Danio rerio: one gene and its partner. The protein of the gene in region 2 interacts with the protein of the main gene of each other region in a pairwise test. Links are inferred from orthologs where the notes say so. Each region holds a gene or a part of one and is shown on either strand. Other genes may lie near its edges.

What was found.
Region 1: the proteins of cops5 (region 2) and gfer interact in a two-hybrid assay, tested with the Homo sapiens proteins (2 studies listed by BioGRID). The link is inferred for Danio rerio from reciprocal best matches to the Homo sapiens genes COPS5 and GFER.

What each region holds. Positions count from the first base shown.
Region 1 is NC_133178.1:39,110,387-39,114,782, reverse strand, and holds the start of gfer (FAD-linked sulfhydryl oxidase ALR), read right to left. Parts: upstream 3,011-4,396; 5' UTR 2,996-3,010; coding exon 2,792-2,995; intron 1,565-2,791; coding exon 1,356-1,564; intron 1-1,355.
Region 2 is NC_133199.1:27,636,133-27,640,408, reverse strand, and holds the start of cops5 (COP9 signalosome complex subunit 5), read right to left. Parts: upstream 2,927-4,276; 5' UTR 2,747-2,926; coding exon 2,610-2,746; intron 2,509-2,609; coding exon 2,274-2,508; intron 751-2,273; coding exon 622-750; intron 225-621; coding exon 159-224; intron 77-158; coding exon 1-76. Other genes in the region: pign (GPI ethanolamine phosphate transferase 1), read left to right, coding at 4,216-4,276. UniProt on the Homo sapiens protein: Probable protease subunit of the COP9 signalosome complex (CSN), a complex involved in various cellular and developmental processes.

The DNA of each region.
Region 1 (4,396 bases), on a different chromosome or scaffold from region 2:
GCATTACAGTAACATTTCATTTAATGTTAATTGTGCACTTTGACAGATCATTAGAGCTAAACACATACAAACAAGGGACAGTACATTTATGGAGTTAACTCTGTGTTGTTTGCATGTGTTGTTAAGAGTTTGCTTGTGCATGTTGTCAAACTGATGAAGATGTTCACTCAATTTGTGAATGTTGTTTTATCTTGAAAATTGTTTGAGCTCTCTCGGCCACCACACGTTGCAGGTTATAGTAAATACTAGAATGGCACATGTCATTATGTCCCTATGTGATGCCATCTGACTGATTTTCAAATATCAACATACAGTTCATCATCTTTATGGTACCATATACAGTTTTTAATTTTAGGAAAGCATTTATATGTGGAGTGAAAAATGTGTAAACTAAAGGCCAAAAATCTAGCTGTGATGATACAGTATGTTAATGCTTTGAATGCTGTCAAACCAAGCTCATGCAGCAATGATGGAATTAAAGCACTGTGTGCTTGTGTTTGAAAACTTGATGTGATTTATTCCTGTGTGATGTGATTGGATAGGACTGATTATTCTACTAAGCCAATCACAGTAGGCAAGAAAAAAATAGAGTAGTTACTGCAGGTTGAAGGAAAATACGACAGTAAATGTTCTAATACAGTACTAAAAATGTACTTGGATAAAAGTACACATTTTAAAACTACTCGGTAATTAATTCCTTAGAAAAACTATGCAATTACAGTGATTTGTGCATTTGCAATATGTTACTTTACACCATTGGTCATGCTATACATGTAAACCAGGGGTGTCCAAACTCGGTCCTGGAAGGCTGGTGTCCTGCAGATTTTAGCTCCAACTTGCCTCAACACACCTGCATGGATGTTTCAAGAAAGCCTAGTAAGAGCTTGATCAGCTATCCCAGGTGTGTTTGATTGGGGTTGGAAGTAAAATATGCAGGACACCGGCCCTCCAGGACCGAGTTTGGACACGCCTGATGTAAACAGACCTTAGTAGAAACAAATTCTGCCCTCTCAGCCATGTCGTCAAACTTTTGATTACTGCTGTATCACTGTGCTGTAACCAAAAATCCTACATGACAGTAATAAAGTGATATATGCGTACATGTCTATATACCACACTTTGATAATATGAGTAAAATAGCACTACTCCAGATGAGTGAATTACACTTGTGTTTACTTTGAGTATAACTTTCTGTATTAATGTTAATAAAAATCTGTTTACATGGTAGAGATCGTTAATCAGAGAGCTACATTTAATATCAGAATTGTTGTCCATGTAAACAAACTGACTGAATCATGTGCTGCTGAAAACAGCAATGGACAAACATGAAAACCACAGCAATTAAAGATGAAGACCTTGTTCTCAGGTCTTCTGCGCATTCATCACATGGGAAAACCTTAGAGAAAAGGTTGATGAACTGCGTCATCTCGAGCTGCTGTTCTGTGCTCGGTGCATCTGGATAATACGCAGCCATAGTGTGAAGAAAAGACCACGAGCTCCTACCCAGCTCCTCGCGGTCCAGCGGACATTCAACAGGCTTCAGCTCCTCCACCGGCCTGCTCTCCTGTACAACATATCACGTTGCATTTTACGATTATATTCATGTTTTATATCACATTTATTTTAATATTGTTGCTGAGACTCTGAGGTTCCCTGGTTGAAAACCACTGTTAGAAAAAACAATATTAAAATAGATTTTATATAGTGCAGTGTTATAGTAACCAACGTATTAAATTAATGATTATTTTTACACATCAACTACAACTGACATGATTGTAATATCAATAAACTCCCTCACATCCCCAAATAGGTCATTTAATTTAAATAAACAATATACCAATTTAAAGGGTTCATAAACATTTGACTATTAAAATTAAATGACTTTTCCATGACTATCAAGTACATTTTCATAACCTAATGTTTCATGTAATGTCTACGTATACATGGTAAATAATAAGAAAAACAATGCACGTTCAAAATTATTACAGCATATCATAAAACATGCAACGATCTATTTATTTTAAATGAATCTTTATATCTATGAAAAATGTATTTAGTAAATGTTCACACAGCACTGATAATGTGAGAGGATGTGTTTGGCCATGGACAGAAACGAAGTAAAGACCACTAACCTATATTTAAGTATACAGATATTTGTTAAACTAATTTCCATGACTTTTCCCAATCTTTGTGGGTTTTTCTGATTTTCCAAAACTTTTCCAGGCCTGGAAAATGCCATGTCAAAATTCCATGACCGTCTGAACCCTGAATATATTATATCTTTATGCTACATGTTTCTTTAGCAAAACTGTAGAGAAAATATCATATGTCATATTGATTTCATGTTTTTTTTTTAGCATTCATTATCTAAATTGTTTTAGTGTTAAAGTGTATGTTTCTACATTTATATCCTATACTTAATCAATACTTAATTCCCCAACACTTATTTTTCATTTATATTCTATACTTATTACTTAAATACTTGTTAAATATTTATTACCCCACTGAATAAACATTTTATAACCACATCAACCATAACTTTAATAAAAATATTACCCCCACCGCCCGAAACAGTTGTCAGCCATATGAGCATATGAATATGAAGTTAGGGAATACTCAAATACCTTCTGACATGTCAAATCCACACCTTTACAGAGGCAGCTGTATTAAAAAGTACAAGTCCAAAACACTGCTATTCTTTTGATTGTTCACAATTAAAGCAGACATCGTGTTGGACATTTTAACGTTATATCTAAACAGAATTTTCTTGACTTCATTCATAATTGTTCACCTGCACCGAGGCTGAGGACGCCTGTTTCTGTAACTTCATCCATGACTTAAAATCCGTACAAGCTCGGCAAGGTTTCTTTTTCGTCTCTCCGGTAGTGGTCTGGTCATTACTCGTACTGTCCTCGGGTGGTTTGCCAGCCACGGGGAACGGGAAACCCTCCATACCCGCGCTGCTATGTGGAGACGACCCGTGTGCAGCTGCCATGTTGTTATGTAGGAGGGTTGCCAGATCTCTGTTAAATAGCCATCCTTTGGGCGTGGAAAACTTGCATAAAACTAGCCCAATCTTGACTAAACAAGTCAAAACTCGAAATATGCCTCTTCACATACACGTGCTCATAATACACAAGTATATATATTTTATAGTCACACGCGAATATTTCAATGTATGTAATCAGAGTTAGTCAAAAAAGCATCTTGCCTTATTTTTCATCAGAATATTATTAGATACAGGAGTTTTATTTTATTTTACTGACACTCAAAGAGCCAGTTCCAATATATGAAAAGGGATCATGGTTTCAACAAAAACAAAATCGTATTTATTTACTTATGAAACAAACAAGTCATCTACATCTCAGATGGTTTTAGGGTGAGTAAATAATTTTACAATTCGTTTTTAGAATTAATTAATTAATTTTTCACTTTTGTGTGAATTGTTTCTTTAAGATGAACAGTTTAGTGAATACAATATTTTGGAAAAAAAGTGGTTATTCTTTTTCAATAAGTTAAAATGTAGCTTTAAGATTTAAGAACATTATACTAAAGCTAATCTTTTACTTATAATCACACATTTCTGCACACATTTTAACTTTTTGCTGTGAAACATGTTGAAGTTAAAGGGACAGTTAAAGTGAAAATGTTATTATTATTATTATTAATATAATTATTTTTATTTACTTGTCCTAAAATGGTTCCTAACCCCTCAATTTGTGTAAAAAAAAACTTTGTACTTCAAATTGGTTTGGAAAAGTGCAGGATGAGTAAATATCCTCAGATTTTTTTCGGTGAAATATTTCTTCAAAATGATCAAATTGTGTTGTGAAATAGCAGATTTGGCAACCCAGCGTACGAATTGTTCATTTGAGTCGGATCTTATCTATGTGCATTATTAACCGGTTCTTTCACACAGCAGGACAGAATTGTAAAAAAAAAATTTGTGTCGATGTTGTGTTGTCATGTTGATTTATTTAAATGCTACACTACAAATTGGACCAAAATTACGTATTTAATTGTTAATTACGTGCAGTTGACCAAACAGAATCATTAAATCGGTTCCTTGTTCAAATGAACCGATTCGACGAAATTATTTCCAACCACTGTGCATCATTGTATGAACATCTGTCATTTACAACATGTTAACAAATGGTGAAATACCATGACTGACATATCGCACTAAATTTAGGTGAAATTTTAAATTAAGGACAACATTAACACGCAAATTCAGGAATGAATCGTTAAAGAAATGGTTTCATGCCGGAGAGGTTTCTCTGGCGCACTGTCCGACAGCGGGTGGTGACGTCACCAGCAGTCCATGCTGCATTTTTCGGGCTGCTCAAAACTGTAATTATCACCGCATTCCCTCATTAAAACACACGAGTGACAATGT
Region 2 (4,276 bases):
GCACTCCAAAATCCTCAATTTTGTTAAGAGGTATCGTCTGGTATTCAGAAGGACCCTCATCTGGAGGCTTGTAACCCTATTTTTAAACATTTGAATGTGATTCAACATCTTATAAAACGCATATAAATTAGATACAGTTGCCTAAAAATAGTTGCTACCTTCGGATATGTCCTGAAAGCTCCAAGATTGACCTTCCCTGCGGATATAGTCCTTGTGGGATCGATCTGAGGATGAAAAATTACAAGGACTGAAATTAGCAAAAGAGTTCAGTCAAATATAACAAATAAAAACAGTAAGCTGCCAGTTTTGCGAGTGAAAGTTATGAACGCCAGCTTGCTATTTGCCCTCGGCACTACATAAGCAATGAAGGATAAACTGTATAATGTATTCTGTTACAAAGGCAACAGTCATTAATCAGACAGCAGTACAAATGTCATCAACTCATTTGTGTCTTGAGGGTCAATTATGGATCACTGATAAAGCTGAATTTAAACCGATACTTTTAACTATTTCATAGCGGAGCTGTTTTCCCCTTGTGTCTTTTGAGATGGATGGTAACCCGCTTTAAAGAGGGAAATCAGCAAAATATGCAACAAGTTTAACATTTCCAACAGCGCTTACCACTACTGCGACAAAGGGCTCTTGAAACTGCTGGTTAAGCATCTGAGTGCTGACATCTATGCCTGAAAGCCAGCAGCCGTATCCTGGATGACTGTGGTACCATCCAATGGCATTCTCCAACCGCCCCACCTAAATAAATATATAGACAATTAACCTCAGAATTATTGAACTTCCATATCAATTCTTTCATATGCTGGTTATTGCGAATTGATGCATAATGTGTTTATACATTTATAAAGTGCATTTTTGAGTTCCTGTCGCTTGTCAAATTTTATTTTTTATTTTATTTTTAAAATCATATTTAATGGCAAATATATCTCAATTAATATTAGACCTTTCAATCTGAATAATAATAATATTAATGATAATTATAATAATAAAAAATCTTTAAAATATTGTTAGAGTAAAAAATTAATTTGCTTGTTCATTTCTGTTCCTGTATTGCATCTGTTAAGTATTTAAATTTTTTGTAGTATTTATTAATTACTTTGATGTGATAAACACATCTGTGTCCTTACTGCATGCAGTCCCTCAATAGTAAAGTATGAAAACTGAATAAAAAAAAAAAAAAAATTATATTTATATAATAGGGCTGCATAATATACTGTTTTAAAATTGATACCGCAATGTGCGCATCTGCAATAGTCACATCGCAGGATCTGCAATGTCGAACCGTTATTATAATTGACCAGGAACCACATTTGAAAACACTCATGATGTGTGCAGTCATTGCAACGTTCAACCATAAAGTTACCAAAACCTTCACTATTTCTGTGCGTTTTCACCATTTACTCTAGCAAAAGAAATTACATTTCTAACTTTATGGTTAGAATGGTTTCACACTGGATTATTAAATTTGTAAATCTGAATATTGCTAGACTTCTAGAAAATCATAAAGCACTGTATATTTTATTTGCCTTTTATTTTCTATTTGTTCTCTACTGTATTGGTTTATTATATTTTATGTGGACCCACTCCCTTACATTAGAATGTCAACGTATCGAAAACTATACATTCTTTCCAAATAGACCTTTTTAATTTAATAGCATTCAATTTCTTTTTGTTTCAAGTCCTGTGACAAGAATTCTGTTCCGTCTCTCAATTAATATTAGAAAGTAAAGACTAAATAAATAATAATTATAAAAGATCTAGGATGATTTTTAGAGGAGTATAGGAATACAATTCATGTTTATTTTAGTTCTGGTAACTGTTCACTTTTTATTTTAGATTTTTTTTTAAATCACATTCGAGTTTATTAGATTTAAATGGTTCTGTGATGCGATACATATTTAGATGTCCAACTACTTCATATATTCTCTCTATTAATCCTAAACATGAAAACAGAATACAAACCAATAACTTTCTTTACTCTTTAAATTGTAATTTTTATATACACGTTTTAAAAAGGTAACCACAACATGTAGCTTCTCACATAACATTGGATCAATCCTAAAAACGTAATGCAGAATAATTATAAATAACAATTAATAAAATATTTGTGATGATATTGCTCTTGATTAGAAAATCTTAAAGATCAGCATACATGCTCCACATATAAAGCAGTGGATATGATCATGTTTATAAACAAACTGTGCTTATATTTATCACTATTCATCTAATATGAATTTTAGAGTAATTATAAGTCAGTGTACCTGTTTAGCATTCTCTATATAAGCAGCCATGTATTCATAGGCTGCAGCCTGAGCGTTGACTCTGGTTTCAGTGCCTTCCACTGGTAAAGCAAAACTGTCCATGATGATCATGGTCTCTCCATCCACCTTCCCCAGCATAAGTCCCATCACCTCCAGGTTTCCTCCAGATCTAGCGTGCATCACCATCTTCAGCAGTGCCAACGCCGATAGCTTGCAGTATTTAAAATAATGATGACTGTAAACAATTAAAACAGTGTAGGTTACACAACAGTGGTATTAATAATTCGAAAACAAGCCGGGCCTCTAGGAGACATCATTTTGGTTTTGTTTACTTACTCTTTAGTCCACGGTTTGGCCGCCAGAATTTCTTGTTGTTGTTTTTTGTCATATTTATATATTTCGTCGATACTCTGAACTTCCTGCATGCTGTTTGACAGCTCCCATGTTTTCATCGCTATGCTACTGCCAGCCATAGCTAATACTACAGTCGGCTTATATCTTCTGTTCGACTATAACGAAGTATGATTAATAACACTCGCAATTAATAAAATATGAAGAGCTAGATAATGTTAAAATTGTGTAGTTTATCTAACTATTTAAATAGATCATTTAGCAATAATTAACAAAGCTCTTGCAGTACTCCTTTTCTGAACAACTCTACAACCTGAGTGAAGCGAAGCGAGCGACCGTACGGGTTACTAAGGAATAAAATTGATGCCAAAATAAGAGTCCTGAACGCAAACCGACCGCTACTGTTTTACAGTCTATGGCACCGCCACTGTTTCTTGATATATTCGTTTTTGTTTAGTTGTTTATCTAAGATATGGTTCGATCTATGTCATTTCTGTTTAATGACCCACTTCGTAATGTGACAAAATAGTGTTAAAAATTGATCTACCTAATTATTTGCAAATAATAGAGGTCATATTTGGTCTATTTCTATTTGTATTATATTATAGAATTATGATATTGTATTTCTGAATATATTAATTATTAACACATTTACTTTCTTAAAAAATAATTATCCTCTTTAATTAAACTTGTATTTATTTGTCTTTATTTGTCAATTGTTTTAATATTTTTAAAAATTGCATGTTGGATAATTTATAATATGTTATGTACTCATATTTGTGTCAGTTATTTCATTATTTTTTACAATTATTAAATTGTTTATTTTTTATTTTATATCTCAATATAATGTTTGATTGTTTATTTTAAACTAATTTATTGTTTAAAGCATTTAAAATTTACGTTTCTTTTTATATATTTTATTCTAAATTTTTATTTTTTTATTTTTTTTGTGCAATTTTTTATTGTAAAAAGGGAGAAATTTCAGTTGAATCAAATAAAGTTGTAAACAGTCATAAACTCGCTGGCATTTTAAAGCACCTCTTTTGTTTTTATGAAAATATTAACGTGGCGTTAAAAACTACATTTCCCAAAATGCACTGCGCAGACACAGTTCAAAGGTTACTGCTACAAGGAAGTGCAGAAAAGTTCTCAGTTAATCTTCTTACAAACTATTTGGTTTAGCAGGTCAGAACTCAAAGATACAAAAGCACCTTAAAACAGATTAAAAGCCCATGCGCGGGTTTTGCTTCAGGGCGTTTCGTTCCCGCGCACTCCTGCTCTGCCCGGTGCTTTCATTGACAGATTAACGTTACATGATACCTTTATATGTCTTCTGTCCACCTTCAACTAATCAGCTTTATGAATCTGTTTCAATCTCAAATTAGCAGAAAGGTAAGTACAATCTTAAATAAACCCCTAACGTTACTTTTAAAAAAATGTTGTACAATATAACTTATTTGAACCTACTGTCCTGCTAATGTAAAACTAATTCATAATAAAAATCTATTAGACTAATAACAGAATGTTTTCATAAATTCATTTGTGTATCTTCTTTTTGTAAATCAGTGTCAAAGGTCTGACTGGAGACAAGATGAAGATGGTGACATTCTTCGTTGTGGGACTCATTGTGCATGTAGTCTTCTTTCTCTGCA